5 separate regions of the Mus musculus genome follow, and regions 2, 3, 4 and 5 are each reported to be linked to region 1. The links are microRNA targets in miRTarBase. Many come from high-throughput screens and were not tested one by one. Region 1 holds a microRNA gene; each other region holds the end of a gene's coding sequence.

Region 1 (4,067 bases):
ACAGACCATATGACCAATAACAAAGATATGCCTGCAAGGCATGCTGGTGAAAAAGTAGTACAAATGTTGTGGCAGAACATAACCTCTTTATAATAGGACTTAAGGCCCACTCCATGAGACAGAATTCACATCCAATTCTATACAATCAGTCAAAAACATGAGACTAGAAAGGCCGTGAGCCTAGAGAAAACCAGTTTTTCTGTAAAGGACCATAACAATAAAATGACTCCTAATGATATTCTATAGTATGTATAGATCAGTGTTTTCCTCAGATATCATCAAATATGCTTCTTTTTCTTGGAACAATGTGTAGAGAGTAAGGGGTATGAAATAATCATTCCTAAGTGGGAGGTCTTTATCAAACACCTTCCCTTGGGGATCAAGGAGTTGTGCTGAAGATGAAGCTGAAAGACAATGAGAGCCAGAGGTAATGGATAACATCAAGGAAACAAGACCTTCTATATACAACAGGACTGATGCACATATGAACTCATCCAGACTGTGACAGAATACACAGGACCTGAACAAGTTCAAACCAAACATGTTCCCATGAGTGAGCATGGAAAATGGATATGAATTCCCATCATTAACTAATAAATTATTTCCAATTGACAGCTACTTACAAAGAAAAATTGTTTTCTTCAATTTCATCTCACTGGGTATAGTAACCACATTTAATTGTAGGCTCTATGCCAAGAATTATACAGCCAACACAATATGAACTCAATTATATTTTGTAGGTATTCTCTGTCTCTCCTCTCTCTCTCTCTCTCTCTCTCTCTCTCTCTCTCTCTCTCTCTCTCTCTTTATGTGTATAATGTGTTTCTTGGGCATTTTAAATTATTCTTTATTCACTCATTTATCTTGCTGATTTTTCTAAAGGAAGATAAAGAAATCTGGTAGTGAAGGTGGGGAGGATCTCAGAGAAGATGGGGGATGTGAAATTGTGGTCAGGATATATCTTAAACATTTTCAGAAAAAAAGAAACAAAACAAATGTAGAAGTGCTGACTCTATCAACTCTATAACCTCTAATAATATTCATCACTTGTACAAGTTATGACATCAGGAAGGATGCCTGAACCCTGAACACACCTAGGGAATGCAAAACTCATTATACATCACCTTGCATATATAATTTGACATCTTCTTCCTGCATTCCAATAAGATGAATAACTCTGAGTACCAATAACTGATCATCACTCTCAGCTTAATACCCTTTCCTTCATTCTTGCCAGACCACGTGCCAAACTTAGGGCCTCAAGCATACAATCTAATTATTCTAAAGACTGTGCTTTAGGCTCTTAAAAGTATGTTTTTTAGCACATAAATAAATTGAATTTTCCTTCTGTATTTTATCGGACCTATGTGAATTTTTGAATAACAACAACAACAAAAAGCATGAAGGTGACAACAACACCATTAAAAACCCTGAAGGTGTCCTAGGGCCCAGAAAAGTCAAAGAACACCATAATCAGAAATGCTAGGATATTTGTACTTATACAAAAATCACTATGCTAAAAGTAATGAGACAGCTTGTTAGACTTATTCTACTCACACAGAAGAACTGGTTAACAGTTTAAGCAAATATGGCTCTGTATAGAATTTTAGCATGTAGGGCGGGCCTCAATCATGTCCTAATAGTATCCTATTTATCAATCTGCCTTAATGAGTATAAAACCTTAACATATATCATATTTATTCCTATCTTAGGGAATATTCCTTGTACATAACATACTATGTCCTACTATATGGTTGACTGCCAAACTTTGTGTTAATTCTCCAATCTATATGCGGCTATAAAGTTAACACTGGGAATCAAAATTGTACTTAGGTAACAGATTAGGACTGGTTACATTTTGTGTAACTACAGATAAAACACCCTGACCACATAATACCACCTGCAATGAAGAACACAATAAGCCCTACTCTACTCAGCTTGGTGTCTTTCATTCTTATAAACATGACAGGCACCAATCTGAATACAGCACTGCATACAAGAACTTTAATGAGAATGCTCTGCCCCAGATCCTTCATCTACATGTCACACAAATCATTCTGCCCCACTCAACATGAAAACTCACTTCTGTTTATATGTATATATTAGAAAACATTCCTACAGTAGGCTATGAGTTTCTAGTTCTTCACTGTATACTATGTCCTGGTCTCTATTTACAGTGTTGATTCTCAAATCTACATAGATAAAAGATGTATCATTTGTTGATTGTGGGTTTAGTTTCTTCTAAGTATTTTTTTCTTTAACCTACATGTTATAATTGTGTAAAAATTGAACATCTAAAATTATACTCTGGATAAATATGGATCCTGAGGGTTACATATGACTAATTACAATGAGGGATTCATGTCAAGTGTAACTGCACTGCACCACTCTGACCAATTAAGGCATAATAAATGAAGAATATCATGGGCCTTACTCTATTCAGCATGATGTCTTTCACAAATATTTCACATGATGGACACCAGTCTGAACACAGCACTGCACACAACATACTGCCCTCTCCCACTCCTATTTCAGTGTCCTGGACAAAAAGTTAAGTACTAGTTGCATGCTTTGCATCAGTATGACTGATGCTTCATCTTTTTTTCTCTACCATGTAGTAATAACCATCATATTTGAGGATCCTGTCTAAATTCACCTTGAGGATGTATGCTGTGAAGATAAATACAGTATATACTAGTTTTCATGAGCCTTCATCAATTCTTGTAGTCTAGTGTGATAGGTGAACACTAGATTTCTTTATTCACAGGTCCAGGAAATGACAAAATCCTTCACCTTTCATTTCTCCTTCTGAATGTTGTGATCCCAATTTTTTATCTCATTTTGCTGATATTAAATATCCATTAATAATAAACATATTACTTTTATAATTGCACTCTCTGACCATTTTGAGGCATGTGTACAACCTTAAGCACCTTTTAAGTCTAAAAAAGTGGGGCTTTAAATGAGAAATGATGAAAATGGTAGCAATCTCAAGGATGCCTTTGAAGACGAAGTATAAGGTCCAGGGTATACAAAGTAAGGAGCTTGTTGAACATTACTCACTCTGAGAGACCATGTGTACACGCACTTAAGTCTCACTGACATTAATGTGTATAGGGATTGACACTAAAAAGCTTTCAGGAGAAATAGTACTCAGCAGAGAAGAGCCCACCAACTGCTTTTCCATGGTCAGCACTGAAATAACATACATAAAACTTTCAAAATATGGACTAAGCAGGGCATGAATGAGAGAGAGAACAAAGGGGTTAGTTGATTAGAGTGGCTGAAGGGAAGAAACGAAAGGGGAGAATTATAAAATATTTTAATTTAAAAAGCACTTAAAAATTAAAATGAAACTAAACTTATTTTCCATAGTGCTATGTCCCTAATTTTAAATATTTTCACCTATGAGAAATAGGAATTAGATGAAAGGTTCCCCCTATATCTTCACCTAAACAATGTCCTGTGAAGGTAGCTACAATCGATCTTAGAATCAGAAAATACTCTTGCATGTGCATCTATGTTCTTACATTTACAATGACAGTACTTTATGAGTATCCTTATATTGAGAGAGATACCCCAAACTGTTTAAACTGTTTAAACCCTTTTCTTAAAGAGACTTCCTCCACTGCCAGAGATCTTGAATAGCCTCCTGGTCAGTCATCCGGAAACAATTCTTCACATAATTAATGAACTTGGCTTCCACTTTGGGAAGAGAACCGCCTTTTTCTATACTTGCTTGCATTTTTGCCTTAATGTCTTCTACAGAACTAGGTCCTTTTGGTGTTTTAGGAGTCTTTTCCTGTTTTTTGAAGGACTCTTGACCCTTTGATCTCGGTGTTGACGGTTTTAAGTCTTTTCCATTTTGGTTTGATTTTTGTGCATTTTTGGCTGGGGTATCTCGTACAGATTTCTTCACTGGGACCTTTTCTTCAGTTTCCTCTTCATCAAAATCATCATCATCATCATCCTCATCATCCTCATCATCGTCCTCATCATCTTCATCAAGTTTTACTTTTTTCTGTATCCTTATATTGAGAGAGGTTAGTAGAAAGTGACTGGTATCT
Region 2 (4,067 bases), not on the chromosome of region 1:
TCCCATTACAATACTACCAGTGACTGTATGTTACCTGTGGTCAATTTAAAAGCCACAACACAAACCTTGTAGGCATTCACCAAACCTTTATTTAAAAGAAGCAAACCTGGAGTCTTGAGGACAGGAACTCACCATCACTGATTCAATTCAGATCTCTGGCTTCCCACACGGAGTGCTTTCAACAGCACTTCTGTGAGTGTAGAACACTGACAACCTGGGCTTTGCAATGCTAGCAGGCTTCAGGTTTCCAGACCCAGTTTCTCCCTTATGTCACTGGGTACAAACTGGCTACCCTCACCATTTACTATCCTGCAAACCACCGCCACCTGACACCTTTACTCTTTCTCTTGCTGCATGGCTGGGGATTGAACTTAGGGTGGCACAATACACACAAGACACGCACACTAACTACGGAACCACAGTCCCTGATACTCTTCCTTTTCTTCAGACATGAGTTTGTGGAAATCAGACCAACCTTACTAGTCATGGGCCATGTTTCCATTCTTAAAGAGATTATGGTTATCTGAGGAAAAGCCACCTCTCCAGCCCTGTGTGTGTTTTTGAGACAGGTTCTCACTATTAGCCTAGGCAGGCCTTGAATGTGTTTGTCTCTCTAGCCACAATCTAGTATTTCAGGTAAATATCCCCATGCCAAAGAGTAGGTCTCTTTAGTCCTACTCTTTGTGTTTTCCCCACAGAGGTTAACCTAGAAGTCTGAGATATGGTAGAAAAGCTTTACTACTGAGCTGTAGCTCAAACCGAGAGAGGAGAGACACCAGATTTTTTTTCTGTTGGTTTGGGAGACAGGGTTTTATTATGTAGCTCAGGCTAGCCTTGAACTTCTATTCCTTTTACCTCTATCTCTTGAGGGCTGGGATTCTAAATGTACCACTACACTGAACTTTTTTTAAACTTTGCTTTAATTTTAAAAACTCATTCACTGAAGGACATCTGGGTTGCTTCCATTTTGGTCTACTATGAACATAGCTACTAACCAGGGAAACTGGATCACTCAAACATCATTGGTGGGAAAATTATCTTCGGTTTTTAAAATATGAAATGTGTTTTTATTTATGTTCATTACATGTATGTGAGGGTATCAGAAACCCTGGAACTGGAGTTACAGACAAGTGTGAGCTGCCATGTGGGTGCTGGGAAATGAACCTGGGTCCTCTGGAAGAGCAGTGGTGGTCTTAACCACTGACCCATCTCTCCAGCACCCCATATACTGATCTTTAATCTTATTTTGAAACACTTCTAATAGACTTACATATAGTTCTAAGAAATAAAAGGCTTCATAAAAAATGGTAATTAAAAAAAATCACCACCCAGCTAGTTTACATTTATTAAGATCATGGATATATTAGATTCAAAGTAACAAAGCTCCAGGAAATAAATAGTCGTAACTAAGAAGGAAACTGTCTTTGTCAGTGTATGCCTAGTTAGCCTGCTTGCCTTTCCATTACAATAGGATGTTTTGTTGGGATTACTAGGAAATCTCTTATGGCTGTGGTCAGGCTTAAATCCTAGGGTGCAAGGCCCTGGGATCTCTGGCACCGAAGATAGGGAGTGTTTCAATCTTGGACGACTTACATTTGTCATTATATCAAGTCTGTGCTCAATGAACACAGGTGGCATACAGGTGATTGTGGGGTACAATCTACTGCTGAGATTTTTTTGCCTGAGACAAGGCCTCAGGCAACGCAAGCTGTCCACAAGCTCCTTATCCTTCTGCTTCGGCCTTCCAAGCACTGGGCATTAATTAGTCACAATGCTTGGTCCAAGTTCTTTCTTGACAGCCAAGGGTAAAATGTTAACACAATGGTTACTCTCTACTGGGAGAAGAAAACATCCAACTAAAGTGGTAGCTCCTGTTGAGTATAGGAAAAAACATAGCAAAGGGAAAGAGTCCATGCACTAGAGGATGGAGAGAACACTCTCAGCATAGAGTAAGCACCATAACAACCCAAAGAAACAGCAGTGCTTCTCCAAAATGTGAGCTTTAGAGGCCTGCTGAAAATTTGTATGAATTAATATATACATGTATTTTTTGAGACAGGTTCTTATATAGCCCAGATTGTTGCATCAAACTCACTATGTAGCCAAAGTTAAACATGAAACTCTACTTCCCAAGTCATGGAATTACAAGCATGTTACATGACTGACTTCAATGATATATATATATCACATAAATAATATCACATAAATATTAGTAGACTTTGTCCTAAACATCTATGTGTTTAACTCATTTGTAAAAATAATAAAAGCTTTATCACTCAGTCTCTGGTCAATAAGACAACATAACAATTTAACACAAAAGGACAGAAGACAGATACAATATTGATCAGTATTATCTTCCTTGTATTTGTAACATTAATACTGCGACAGAGAAGGATTAGTCCACACTTTGCAGGAGAAACAGGCTTTGAGATGATCAGACTTTGAAGACACAAGGACTCCCACTCCACTAAAGCAAGTGTTCAACATACCAACGGAGATCTTAGTGCTTTACATGGGTCTGTCCTGGCAGGGAACAAAAGCAGCCAAAGGGAGGCTCCAAGAAATGGGAGACACCAGTCACCATGTCAAGGTGAGAAAGTAGAAGCTTTACAGTTGGCAAAGTGTACCAATCAAGTGCTGCCCCAAGGAGGTCATCAGAGGAAAGGCAACAGAGCAATCGCAGATGTATCATGCATGAAAGGTAATTACAATACATTCTTTAATGACCAGACAATCTATGAGGCAAATTTTACAGTCATTGGAACAAATAAACTAGATTTAATCAGTAATGTCCTACCTACTGTCAGTTGTTTCAGTATAAAATAATGTCTAAAAAGTATATGCTTTGAGTATTTACTTTAGAACCCCCTTTGAGATAATAAAGACACTGTAACAAAATATCATTATCTTAATATACATTATCAACACCAATATGATACAGATATATAATTCTCCTTTTCTATATGTATGGTGGAAATACTGCAAAACCTAGAAAAAAGGATGAAAACAGACTGGCCAGAATTCAAATTATTGGACTAATCCATGATACAAATTTCCAAGGAAAACTTAAATAACCCATCATTGCTACATACACTGGCCTATGGAAAGTGCTGTCTGAAAAGAGAAAGAAAATGAAAACTCATTTTTGCTTCAAGTATTTGGTTTGTGCTCTGAATTTTTATTTTATTTTATCTTCACTGTTCCTTATTTTACTTTAATACAGGGTGTCTTGTGACTTTCACAGCTAGCCTTAGCCTCCCGGGCAGCTGGAGTTTTAAGTATGTTCCACTGTACCTGAGTTCACGATTTTAGTCATTAGTCAGATGTAAGAGGAAAACACTTCAAATGAATCATTTAGAGTAAGAATTCCAAACCAAGACAATGAGTGATGTCTCAGAGCTAACCCTGGAACAGTGACTCTCACAGGTCAGGTGCAGGTGACAGCACTTCTCATAGGGCCCCAACTTCTGTTCTCCCATATGTGCATTCTCTCTCATGGGCTATTTTACTTTACAAGTCCTTCTTTCAGTGACTGAAGAGGTGATGTCCAAACGTAACATGAATACACCTGCTAATCCTGAGATGACAGTGGTGGTGGCAGGAGTGATGGCGGTGGTAAAGGAAAAGCCATGTCTTTTCACTCAAACTTCTGCTTTAGTTGTTTTTGGAAGATGGCTGGCAGGATAGAAAGAAGGGCCAAAACCATCAGAATAAATACCGAGCTCCAGGAAACAGCTTCCCCTGCTGTTGTAAGCTGATGCAGAGTTGTTCCTGCCTTGATTGCTACAAAAGAAGGAGGTGCAACACCTAGAACAAAAAACAAGACAACAGTGAGAGAGTGAGGAGCAGTGGCAGCCTGTCACGAAAAGAAAAGCCACCATTTTTTCATGTTTGCATGTTTTGTGACAAGTGTATGTAAGTGTACCGTGTGTACCCAGTGCCAGAAGAGGTCATCAGATCTAGAGTTACAGACAGGTGTGAGCCTCCACTTCTAATCTCAGAACTTGGGAGGCAGAGGCAGGAGAATCTCTGTGAATTTGAGGCCAGCCTGGTCTACATAGCAAGTT
Region 3 (4,067 bases), not on the chromosome of region 1:
GAGACTGGGAAGAATGAAGGCTGGGGTGCCTGGGAGTCGGCGTGCTGTGTTCTAATTCCTATGCAATGGCATCGAGTGCTGTACAGTGAACATGACTCCCTGAATGGTTGAGGCCTCTCACTGGTCTTCTGTTAAAGAAGCTCATTCAGATACTGCAGTTTCTTGATGTCCTTAACTGAGAAAGAGAAGGGGAAAAATATAAACTCTCCCATCTCCATCGTTGTCTCGAACCAGTGGGTCTAACTGCAGTAGAACTGGTATGTTTGACAAATGTATTGGGCAGTTGTGTTGCTACATTTGTGGGATGTTAGGCATTAGCATCTTGTGCACAGAGAAAGGAGTCTTACAGTACACAGGCCAGGGAAGTATTATCCAGGCAAAGAGTTGGACAGCCCTGACTGTCCGTTGTTGAGGCTGCAGCCCCCTTCTCTACCTCACTTTTCAGATACCACTGTCTGCATGCAGGCTTTGTTCTCTCCCTTCTCGACTCATATATAACAGTGGGGTGATATGGCTCAGAGAGCAGAAAAGATGGTACTCATTGGAGTGTCATGCGGTTTCAATGGTACCCTCAGCTTAATGAAACAAGTTATCATTTGATGCTGCAGTGAGCGATGCTGAGGCCAATGAGGCTCATTAAAAAGCTGAATCTGTTGGTCCATTTGCAGGGGCCTGAGAGTCTTCCTGGAGCCAGCTCCTGGGAGAACAATACAACATTAGCATCTACAAATGATCCCCTGGCCATTGGAAGTTTCCAGTCTGGCTAGATGGGTACGGGGCCCAAAGAAGGCCCAAGAGGCTGAAACGGAAGCATTCAGTCTTACAAACTCAGGGTTGAGCTGGGAATGGTGCTGTGTGCTCTGAATCCCAGCACTGAGGCAGGAGGATTGCTGAAAAACTGAGGCTAGGCCAGTTTAGCTTACCTAGCAAATTCCAGGCTAGTCTGTGTTAAGAGTGAAACTTTGCCAAACAATAGTCCCAAACAAACAAAACCAAATCAAAACAGAAGCTCAAAACCCAAGCTAACTAACTATATGTAATATATATTATATACACATACATATACTCTTTCTTTCTTTCTTTCTTCCTTTCTTTCTTTCTTTCTTTCTTTCTTTCTTTCTTTCTTTCTTTCTTTCTTTCTTCCTTCCTTCCTTCCTTCCTTCCTTCCTTTCTTTCTTTCTTTCTTTCTTTCTTCTTTTTTTTAGTAAGTAAGAAAGAAAATTATAGTTGGAAGAATTCAGAGTAGGCTTAATCAAATCCTCCACTTTGGAGTTAGAGAAACTGTATAGCCTACAGTGGTGAGAGGAGTTGAAGTCCTACTATGTTCTGTGGCAGGTTTTAGACAAGGCTATTCGATCCCTATTTCCCTGAGTGAGCACGGCTCTCGGGGACCTCTTGGAGGGGAGAACCCAGGCAAGGAGGGAAGAATCCTGCAGGCCCTCACAGGAGCCACTGTGCTCTGTATTTCCTGCTTATCTGTTTCACGGCTCACACGAATCCTGGGAGTTTTTGGGGAGGGAGGGCTATCAGATCCTCTTTGCCTGCCCTATTGCTTTTCTGTGTCACTAAATATGTAGCCAAGCTGGGCCAGGACGGAGCATGGAGACTCAGACTCTGTGCTACTCCTTCAGCAGGCCCAAAGGTGAATCCAGGAGTGGAGTGGGCGATCCCAAACACTTCATTCTCCTCCTTCAGGGCACACAGAAACACCACCAGGGCCTGCTGCCTTAGGTTGGAAGACTGCTTGGGGTCTGCTAAGTTCCTTCCTAGTTCTAGCTCCATCTCTTTAGCTGTGATAAAACAGTTTGACCAAAAGCAAACTAGAGAGGAAAGGGCTTATGTCATCTTATACCTCCAGGCCACACAGTCTGTCACTGAGGGAAGGCAGGGCCGCAACTTGAAGCAGAAACTGTGGAGGCATGCTGCTTGCTGCCTGGCTTAAGCTCACGCACAGCTAGGGCATTTAGATAGCTCAGGACCACCAGCTCCAGGTCTTGCCCACAGTGTGCTGGATGCTTCTACAGTAGCTAGCAAACAAGACAACGCCACTGCACAAACCTGCCCCCAGGCCAAAATCTGATCCGGCTAATCATTCAATTGAGACTTCCTCCTGGGTGACGCTAGGCTGTGTAAATGTGACTAGGACAGTCCTCTATTTCCAGTGCTCAGGACACAAACTCTTAAATTCAGGCCACTTCAATTGGAATGGGAGCAAATCTCACAGAGTATTTAAAAAGAAGAGCAATCCTGGATCCCTGGGCATGAATAATATAACAAAGGAAGAAAAAAAAAAGAGAAACTTTTCATTAGTATTTTTGATGTCAATTTATTATTTATCTTTTTGCCAATATTCAAACAAGCAGGCAGTCATAAAACATTCAAAAGATCTTCTAAAACAGTCAGGCATCTGTTTTACTTCGGTTCCCTTTTAGAAATCAGGATATTGGGAACCCTGGTGCTTAGAGTATAGCAGTGTAAAAATACATGGTGTATCAAAAATATTGCTTGAGGGGGCTGGAGAGACAGCTTAGTGGTTAAGAACTCTCTTGCTGCTCTTCCCTAAGACTGGAGTTTGGGTTCCAGCACCCACATCAGGGGGCTCACAACTGCCAGTAACTTGGGTTTCAGGCACTCTGATGTCCCTCCCATGTGCATGTACACACGCATGTAAAGACACATGCACACACACACATACGCTCATATGATAAAACAGATCTTAAACACATATTGCTTGACCACAACATAGAAAGAAGGTAGTCAAAAATTTTATGTTACACCACAGGCAGGTGGCAGACAGACAGACAGGCAGGCAGGCCATGGTTACAAGGGAGGATACATTGGAAATCAATGATGTTCTGTTTCCAGATTTCTGAATCCTCACTTGCTATTATTGTTTGAGCCGAGGATGTTGAAAAGGTCCTCTGCTCAGTAATTAGCGCCCTGTCAAACTCTGCCTATCAAGACCAGCATGCTGCACCTGGCCCGAGTTATAAAACAAAAAACAAAAACAAAACCCGAACGAAGGCGACTTGATGGACCCCTCAGGGGCCAACCATGCTCAGGACAGCATCAGTGTGCCTCCCATGACTGCCATTTACACAGTAAGCAGGTCTCCTCCTTAGTGACCCTAATCTTATGACCTGTCATGCCTCTTAAGTTGCTCTGATACTCGACTGTCTCTGCCACAGGCACGATCTCTTCCTGGAGTAGGAAGTCACCCATGGTAAAAAAAAACCACTGTGGAAACAAACCCAGAACCCAGAGCAGAATACCCCTACTCCCCAGGAGGCCCTCTAGCCAGTCTTTCCTTTCCCTTTCCAGGAACCGTCATTGATGTAGAGGCCCTGGTCCCTGATGTAGGTGATGACGGCCTCAGGGAGGAGGTACTTCACGCTCTGCCCTTGTCCCAAGGCTTTCCTGACGTATGTGGCACTGATCTCGTTCAGAACGGGTTCCCTGGCCAGGTGAATGTTGTGCTGAAACTGCTGGAGGATGGGCGAGTCCGAGATGTACCTTTCCGGGTCATGACCGCTCCTGCTCACGCACACCAAGCCGAACTTCTCCACTATTTCCTGGATGTGCGTGTCTTTCCAGAGGTTGGGGGTCTGGAAGGTCTTGAGGACATCAGCTCCGCAGAGGAGTTTCAACTCTGGCAGTGCTGTAAAACAAGGGTGGGTCCCAGCAAGGTTACGGGAATCTGAAGTGATACTGGGGCCCACAGTTATAAGTAATCATTGCAGCCTCATGGCTTCGGGTTAACATTGACAAATTGTCAAGACAAGAAAAAAAAAGATTTTGCTTTCCAGTGCTCAGTGCTCAGACAGAAGTCTGTCTGTAGCTGCTTTGGACCAGAGCAGACAAAGTCCCAGAGGTGGCCATGCTGTCCCCAGAACTTGATTATTTGCTAAGCAGTGAGAGTTTTAAAGTCCCACGAAGATGAGGCTGTGGTCGTTGTATAAGTCACCACCCCTGCATTCACTTCAGCCCTTGTTATTACATTATTATCCCGAGGACCTAAAATTTTTCTACAAACCCCGTGAAAATGTACAGGCTCTCTGGACAACTAA
Region 4 (4,067 bases), not on the chromosome of region 1:
GGGAATTGAACTCTGGACCTCTGAAAGAGCAGTCAGTGCTCTTAACCTCTGAGCCATCTCTCTGCCCTGATTTATTTATTTATTTATTTTTGATAGTTTTTTTTTCTTTTTCTTTCTTCCTTTTTGGTTTTTGTTTGTTTGTTTGTTTGGTTTTTTTTGAGATAGATTTTCTGTATGTAGCTCTGGCTGTCCTGGAACTCACTACATAAAACAGGTAGACACCTCGAGCTCACAGAAATCTGCCTCTCATTTGCTGGAATTAAAGGTGCGTCCCACCGATCCTGGCAGGTTTGTTTTCTTTAGAAACAATTGTAACCCAGTCAGTTTAAAATTGCCCTCCAACATAGGCCACCATGGGTGGGTACGAAAGTGTAAAATGTGTGCAACTGGGGAGAGAGCACATGCAGCCAAGCCTGGTGGCCTGCACCAGGAAGAGAGGCGGCTCCTGTATGTTGTCCCCTGACTCCTCACGCCACAGGCACTGCGGCAAGTGCACATACACATGTATTCACGTCCAGAGTGCAGAAACGTAAGCTCAGTAGAACCGAATAATCCACTATTTGTTCCTGAGTGCAGTCCATGTTCTCAGCAGATTCCCCCATGTCTCCCTTTAGTCCTGCATCTGGCCTGCGCAGGTCAGCATGTGGCTTGCACCAGGCTCCTCCTACAGTCGGGACTGAAGGATTCCGAAGACCTCACAGGCACCTTGGCCCAGCAGCTCACGAGAAGCGTAGATATCCTTCAGGACTTTGACCATGACGTGAAATCGTAGGATGCTTGAAGAAGGAGGCGATGGAGTTCAAGGCCGTTCATATTCTGCTCCTTCTGTTGCTGAGAGACAGGGTATCGAGTTCCTTCTCGGCCAGCGTTTTCATCTCCTCCTGCTGCCTTTCCTTCTGCATGCTCTTCGGTCGAATGACCAGGAGTCTGGATTCCTGGCATGTTGTGTGATCTTGAACGTAGCCATTTGTTTTTTCATTTTTAAACTGTAATGAGGGTTAAACTGAGAACTTTCACACACTCAGCAAGTGCTATGCCACTGAAGCACATCACCAGCCCCGGATCTTGGCTTTTCTACGCTGCAAGGAGAATCAGGTTAAACATAGAGGTTTGTGTATCCTTAGGGAGTGAATGTAATATATGTGTCTTTAAATATATAAAAATCTAATAAAACAATATAAACTGATGTTTATTCAAGCTCTAAAACATAGTTGGCCTATTCAATTTTTTCCTTTGTAGCTTTCATGTGGCCCTTTGGTTTCATTGCCAGGAAGGGCGTGTTTTTGCCGTTTTTATCAAAGTTTATAAAGACACTTGATGGACAGACACTGTTTTATATATGTGAATGGATAGTTTGCCTGCATGTATGTTTGTGTGTCACATGCATGCTTAGTGCCTTTGAAGGCCAGAGGGGGCAGCAGATTCCCTGGAACTGGAGTTACAGTTGTGTGAGCCTCCGTGTGGATGCTGGGAATCCAACCCCAGGTCCTCTGAGGGAACAGTCAATGTGCTGCACCACAGAGCTGAGCCATCTCTCCAGCCCCAGGGAGAAGATTTTAAATGTGAAGGAGTTTTTGTCTGTTTCAGTAGACAAGTTCAGTCATGAGCAGGATTTGACCCTCACTAGTTTAATACTATTACCCACCTCCCTCACTCCATATTGTGCTTGCCCTGTCAAATAGCAAAGACCTCCAGCTTCTCTTAATTAGTCTCCTATGGAGTTTATAAACCCCTGTTCCTAACCACCGGGTAAATGTTACTGTAGAAACACGATCCTATCTAATAATCTTTCTCATACACTGTACATCTATACTCATCTCAGACGGGATTACCGCTCTCCCTCGCGTCAGAGATCGCCCTGTCCCCGTGCCTTATGGGTCTGAGACTGATACTGGTGTGTGGTACTTAATGTATGCATGTTGGGGCTTAAGGTCATCCTTACACACACAGGCATTCTCTCCATTCCTGTTCATATTCTCTCTCTCCCTTCCCCTCCCCCTCCTCCCCTCCCCAGCACAAGCCTCTTTCTGTGCCTGGTGCTAGCCTCAGATTTGCAAAACTTCCAAGCTCTGAGCACTGAGCTTTGAGGCCTGACTTGTAATGCCTGCTATCTCTTTCTTGTTTGCAATTCTTCACTCATAATTAATTCCCCTGTGTCCCTTTGCTTCTGCCCTTCCCAGTACTAGACTCTGTAAGCATTGACTACCACAGGCCACTGCTTAAATTACTCAGCAGCCAGAGACGGTAGTGGTTATCACAGCATTAATTGTAGCAGAGAAAGTAATAATGATAGATGATGACAATACACTGTGGGTGTAATACTAGATCAGAAATACTAATAGCAGTCCATGTGGTAATAAGTATTTCCCCCTAATTATGGTTACTTTCTTCATTTCCTTTGGGTCTCTCAATAGGTCACTCTCCCAGGACATCCTGCCTGAAATGCTCCTTACCCCTTTTTGCAGCATTTGCTCCCACCGTCTTCAGTGCTCACATAACCTAGAGTCACCTGAAAGGGGAAGCTTAATGATTCGCACTAAGTTGGCATTAAGTTCCCATTGGGTTAGCAGTCCGTGTGTCTGTGAGGGATTGTCTTAAAATTAAGTTAATTGATATGGGAAGACCCAGCCCAGTGTGGGCAGCGTCATTCCCTGCACAGTATGTCCTGAACCGTATAAGAGGGGAGAGATTGAGCTGAGCATCAGCGAGCAGACAAGTGGGCACGATACATTCATTTCTCTCTGCTTTTAACTCCAGGTGTGTCTTTGAGATCCCTTCCTGGACTGCTGCACAGTTAGGGAGTGAAATAAGCCTTTCTCTCCTGAGTTGCTTTTTTTTTTCAGAGTATTTTATCAGAGCAACAAAAATAGAACTAGACCCCCTCCCACTTGTTTTTTTCTTCTTGGTATTTACCACTAGCAAATATTCCATATAAACTGCAAGTAACTTTTTTATTATCTCTGTCTTCCATTGATATTTAACCTGCTTGGGTCAGGACTGAGGCCTAGAACAGTCTTGGTACAGAGTAAGTATATTGTAGTGTGGTTAGTGAATACATTAGAGATTTATATTTATTGAGTGCTTAATGTATGACAACTGGTGTGCTGAACACCTTACCCATGTTTGTTCATGTTGTTCTCTGGCTTTTACGCTTTGTAGATAGTTATTATTCCATCTCAAGCAGCCTTTTTCACACACACTCCCTTGAGAAGAGTCAACATTTCGAACCTCAGCTCACAGGCCCCATCTTGCTACGCTGCAGTCTGGCTTTGGCTTTACTGCTGATCCCCTGTGCAGACCACTCCCTGTGAAGTACCCGAGAACTTACTTCTTTTCTTTTCTTTTTTCTTTTTTCTTTTTCTTTTCTTTTTTTTTTTTTTTTCCGAGTGAGGGTTTCTCTGTGTAGCTCTGGCTGTCCTGGAACTCACTCTGTAGACCAGGCTGGCCTCGAACTCAGAAATCCGCCTGCCTCTGCCTCCCGAGTGCTGGGATTAAAGGTGTGTGCCACCACTGCCTGGCCCCAGGGACTTTCTAATTGTCTAGATAGGGTCTCACTATGTAGCCCTGGCTGTCCTGGAACCCACTATGTAGAAGACTGGCCCCAACTCACAGAGCCTCCTACTCCTGCCTCCTGGGTGCTGGGATTAAAGGCATGACAGGTTAAGAAAGGCTTCTTAACTCTGGGCTTATTAATGTCTTAGTCCCTTCTGCTTTCTGGACTTTGTACCAGAGATAACTCACTCCAGGTTTGTTCTTTTGCTTCTTTTTGATCTTCTCCCCTCACAGCCCTCCCCACCCCATTTTTTTCAAAGATAGGATCTCAGTGGGCATCCTGAGCTGGACTTTAGTGTGTGGTCCTCCTGCTTTGGCCCTCTTGAGTGCTGGGATCGAAGGCATGATCGTACATGCCTTCTGAGTTTCCTTTTCTTATTCTGTGTCCCTTGCACACTTCTCTCTTGGGGTCTGCCCCTTGAATACTGGTACACTCAGCTTCATGCCCAGCTTCTCCTCTTTGTTCTGCACTTGCTACTGAAGTAATCTCATTCGGTTTTCTGGTTTTGCCTCCC
Region 5 (4,067 bases), not on the chromosome of region 1:
CCCAAGGGCCCCCTACCCAGTACTGTCCTACAGGAGCCATAGTCCTCTTCACCCAACCTATCCCAATTTACCTTCTGCCCATTGGGTCCAGTAGATGGGAGTGTCTGCACAAAGGTGTTGCACTGAAACTCCCACTTGGGTAGGGTCCACAGTATGGCCCCCCAAAACTGCCAGCAGCTCCTGGGCATAGTGGGTATCCCGGCCAGGTACATGTGACTCTTGGGCCTGCAGAAAGACTCTGGTGGACCACCGTATAGTACTTCCTTGCTCCTGGCTGGGAAGGGTATTGGTGCCCACCCCAGGCTGATGGCCCCTCCACCTGCCCTTGTCAACAGCCTTAGTCAGGGGAAAATAGAGCTTTCTGTTCCCCTGAAACCAGAGCCTTGGCTGGCCCAGCTGGACTGCACAGAGGACCTTTTGTTTATCCCCTGGCCTTGGGGGTTTGTGGGTGGCAAGCCAAGTAGTACTGCTCACCCTGGAAGTGTTCAGCAGCAGCTGCAGGGTCTCCCAATCTTGGGCTTCCATCAGACGGAGGAAGCAGGCTTGGTGCTCTGCAGGGCGGTAACAGATGTAGCCCTGGGGGTGGCGGGGCAGATAGGTAAGTCGAGGCCACCCCTGACACCTCCACTCTCTCTCTCTCCCAAGCCCACTCACGTTCTGCCCGTCAAACAGCACAGCCCAGCTGTGGTTGCTCTGAAACGGAGTCACCACGATGGTTGCCATGTTCTGGGCCACATCCACTAGAGTAGTTTGGTTGGGCCAGGGTACCCTGGAGCTCGGGAAGGTCTTTCGGAGCATCTGCAGCAACGGCTAAGGGATATTTGGGATTCAGCCTTAACCTATGTTTCCACATCCTTCTGGTTCTCTATCTGCTCGAGGCTGGTATCTAGACCTGGCCCCATGCGAGAACTGACAGGTACTGGCCTTCCTGCCCTCTTCCCACTCTGCATACCCCGAGGCTTGAAGAGGTGCTTACCTTGGGAGAGCTGTACATGAAGCCAAGAAGCCCCCCAGCCACGGCCCCCGCAGTGAGCAGTGTCAGCAGCAGCAGCAGGCCTGCTGCTCTCCAGCCCCTATGGCAGGGTTTGGTCTTCACCTGAGGGCACAGTACTGGCCGTGGGGCTTCTGGCTTAGAGACTCAGGGAAGGGGCTGAGGATGGTATGTGGTAACATTCCTTTCTTCTATGGCATCCCTGAGTTCTTGTCTTGGGGGTGGTAGAGACTTACCTCAGCAGGCTTGGACCTGAGGCTCTCAGTGTGGATGCGCCCTTGCTTCATGCTGCAGCCCCTGCTGACAATGCACTGATTGTCTGCAGCCCCTTGGAGGAGTCAGCCAGGGAAACCTCAGGATGCCTTTGATGAATCAAACTGTATCCTCCCCTTCCAACCCCACTGCTTCCTTCCCAGCCAGTATCTGATATCCTGCCTCAGCCAGGACAACCCTCTCCCCCACATGTGATTGCTGGTCACTAGTTTGTCTCTGGACTCTTGGCCTGTGCAGAACATGGGGTCTTGGTGTGTGTTAGAGCTGGCCTTGAAGTCAGAATTGGCTAGGTCTTCGCCAGGGTGATTTTGATCTGGTTGGGCAGACTTTTTTTCTTGGTGTTGCCTCCGGACTCCTGAGCTAGACACCGGAACTATCAATAAATGTGTATGAACCATCAGTGTGAGGCCGATTGCTTTCTTACCTTCCCTCACAAACTCCCAAGCTTCTTTCAAGACCCCCATTAGCATCAGATGGGGCTGTTGATATTTCTATGTGCACGATCGTGTGCTTCAGGCTGGACCAAGAACAAGTACCTTGCTCCACATTAGTTAAGCCAGCCTCTGTTCCCTAGCATGTTTTTTCCTACTCTAGCTCTATTGTCTTGGTCACTTATCTCTGTGACTTGGTGGCCTAGCTGTACACACATCCCAGTACTTTACACCTTGTATTTCCAGTTTCTTTAGCACCTGTTCCTTATAGACAGGGTGGGGCTGCAGGTGGGCATGCCCACTGGGAATGATTTTAGAGTTGGAATCCCAGCCTGCCTTCAGTGCTCCTGCCTTGCTCCCACTCATAGCTAGACAACTGCTTCTCAAAGAAATTAGAGGAAGGCAGACCTAATCATCATGGGTTTGAGAGTTTAATGTGCATTTGAGATCACACAGCAAGACAAGCTAGAAATGTCACACACACACAGGTTCTCCAGGTTTGTCCAGAGGAGGGTCTCTCTGGCTACGCACCTGCCAAGCCTGGTCATTATCCAGACTCCAAGGATCAGCACCACCAATGTCATAGGCACTACCACAGTCGTGTTGATCTATGGCACCTTCCACTCCCGCCCCTGGCCCGGGAACAGCTTCAGGCATGGATAGATATCTTTTATTGCTCTGAGAACTTGGTGAGTAGGTCCTGTTGATCCATGGCACCATTCCACTCCCACCCCTGACCTGGGAGCAGCTTCCGGCATGGATGAATACCTTTTATTGCTCTGAGAACTTGGTGAGCAGGCGAAGTCCTGTGGCCATGAGCATAGCCACTTGGTACAGGGCATGGTGCCAGAAAGGAGTCAGCCAAAAGGAACTTCCCAGTCTGCTCAGAACACTGAAAGGTCAGGGACTGGAAGAGCAGGGGAAAAGGCCAGAGATGCTGAGAAGCCAACTGGCTAGTAGGTCTTATGGCTGGCCACCAACAAGGAAGTCCACCTGTCTACAACAAAACTGACCTGGACAAGGGGGGGGGTTGGCTGCTTTCTTAGAGACTTAACTATCCTCAGGACTGACTCCTGCCTACCCAGAGGACTCTGGGAAACAAGACAATCCTCGGCTAGCACACTGGCTATGCTGCTGACTGGGACAGGAGATTTCTTTAGTGGGGTTTACCGTTGCGACAGCACAACTATTAATCCACACGCGTAAGATCCAATTTCACACTTGACAGTGTTGTTCACTAGTTTGAAAAAAACAAAACCCCAAACAACCCAACTGTTCTGAGCTCCCGGGAAAGCAGCATGGTGTTGGGAGCTGCTCAGCAGGCCACACTTAAGACACCTAGGCCAAGTTCACAAAAGACAAGTTTAGTTGGGCTGTTACTGTGCATGAGGGTCTGCAGTACTGAGCATCTGAAACAGAACAGACAATTGTGATGTCAAAGAGGCAGAGTAGCGGAGGCTGTCGGGGTTGGCATCCAAACCCCAGCTATAGAGCGCTCCCACCCCACAGGTGAGGAACTGGGACGCAGTAGCAGGCGCCTCTGCCGCAGGATCATTAGGGGAAACCCCAGTTTTTGGTCTCTGTGTCATTAAGAGCCCTTTTTAACTCTGCCCACCTTAGGGCCTGATCCCTGATTACATTTCAGTAAAAAGCATGACACACAACCCTTGACCCATTTCAGTCTCAGCAACAGGGCCTGAGGTTACCTGAATGTTGGGCACATGCTATGCCCACCCCATAATGCCTTCCAAGCTTAAAAGTGCATCTTAAAATATAATTCTCTGTAAACAACCCCCCCCAACGTTTACTTACAAGATTAACTACTGCCTTTGCTTATTAACTTCAGTTAACCTGCAGCCACCTAACAGAGCAATTTCTAAGCCCCACTATTAATTTAGGTAGCTGATTTTCTTTTTCTTTTTTTTATTCCAGAGATTAAAGACACTAGATCTTTAACCTTGAAGGGCAGGCAAGAGGTCGGCAATGCTGTCAACATAGAAGTCAGGGACCATTTTCTTCTTGAACATGCAGTCACTTTCCTGATTGCTCTTCACATCCTCAAGACTGGAGACTCCGGTGAGGGTCAGGATAGTCTTCAGGCTACAGGTGGAGCCCAGGAGGATGTCTGTGTCCAGGCGGTCTCCCACCATGACGGTGCGCTCCGGGTTGATACCATACTCCTGGGACACGCAGTCGAAGATGAAGCGGCTAGGCTTCCCGATGATGTCCGCCTGGCGCTGGGCGGCCATCTCCACGGCTCGCACCAGACAGCCGGTACCTGCAGAGCGAGGGAGGGAAGGGGACGCTGGGGTCAGAGGACACGGAAGGGCTGGGCCCGCCCTCCAACCTCCAGCCCCTAGGTGCACGGACCC

What was found. Region 1 holds the annotated microRNA mmu-miR-743b-3p (GAAAGACAUCAUGCUGAAUAGA, at 2,435-2,456, opposite strand). A microRNA usually pairs through its seed, bases 2 to 8, with sites in the 3' UTR of a target mRNA and lowers its output. Matches are read on the target gene's strand: a 7mer-m8 pairs with bases 2 to 8, a 7mer-A1 pairs with bases 2 to 7 and ends in A, and an 8mer does both.
Region 2: miRTarBase lists Tmem41b as a target of mmu-miR-743b-3p. Seed matches in the 3' UTR shown: 8mer at 2,880-2,887.
Region 3: miRTarBase lists Nmnat3 as a target of mmu-miR-743b-3p. Seed matches in the 3' UTR shown: 8mer at 2,669-2,676.
Region 4: the mRNA of Ankrd16 is a reported target of mmu-miR-743b-3p. Seed matches in the 3' UTR shown: 8mer at 1,144-1,151.
Region 5: miRTarBase lists Pgp as a target of mmu-miR-743b-3p. Seed matches in the 3' UTR shown: 8mer at 3,632-3,639 and 7mer-m8 at 3,050-3,056.

Annotation. Positions count from the first base shown.
Region 1 is chrX:66,774,832-66,778,898 of GRCm38, forward strand. It overlaps Mir743b (microRNA 743b), which reads right to left and starts at 2,501; the gene lies at 2,425-2,501. Mir743 (microRNA 743) reads right to left here and starts at 1,987; the gene lies at 1,926-1,987. It also overlaps the pseudogene Gm14681.
Region 2 is chr7:109,971,145-109,975,211 of GRCm38, forward strand. It overlaps Tmem41b (transmembrane protein 41B), which reads right to left. Exons shown (of 7, transcript NM_153525.5): 7 at 1,043-3,807. The coding sequence ends at 3,638. Among named protein-coding and RNA genes, the nearest start is that of Dennd5a, 13 kb to the left of the region's middle.
Region 3 is chr9:98,409,668-98,413,734 of GRCm38, reverse strand. Nmnat3 (nicotinamide nucleotide adenylyltransferase 3) reads right to left here. Exons shown (of 5, transcript NM_144533.3): 5 at 2,307-3,658. The coding sequence ends at 3,294. Among named protein-coding and RNA genes, the nearest start is that of Rbp1, 11 kb to the left of the region's middle.
Region 4 is chr2:11,789,120-11,793,186 of GRCm38, forward strand. Ankrd16 (ankyrin repeat domain 16) reads left to right here. Exons shown (of 7, transcript NM_177268.4): 7 at 615-1,206. The coding sequence ends at 772. Among named protein-coding and RNA genes, the nearest start is that of Ankrd16, 13 kb to the left of the region's middle.
Region 5 is chr17:24,471,148-24,475,214 of GRCm38, reverse strand. It overlaps Pgp (phosphoglycolate phosphatase), which reads right to left. Exons shown (of 2, transcript NM_025954.4): 1 at 4,066-4,067; 2 at 2,105-3,973. The coding sequence ends at 3,648. It overlaps Mlst8 (MTOR associated protein, LST8 homolog (S. cerevisiae)), which reads left to right. Exons shown (of 9, transcript NM_001252464.1): 9 at 1-1,665. Bricd5 (BRICHOS domain containing 5) reads right to left here and starts at 1,331. Exons shown (of 5, transcript NM_175682.3): 1 at 977-1,331; 2 at 655-810; 3 at 475-576; 4 at 72-225. The coding sequence starts at 994.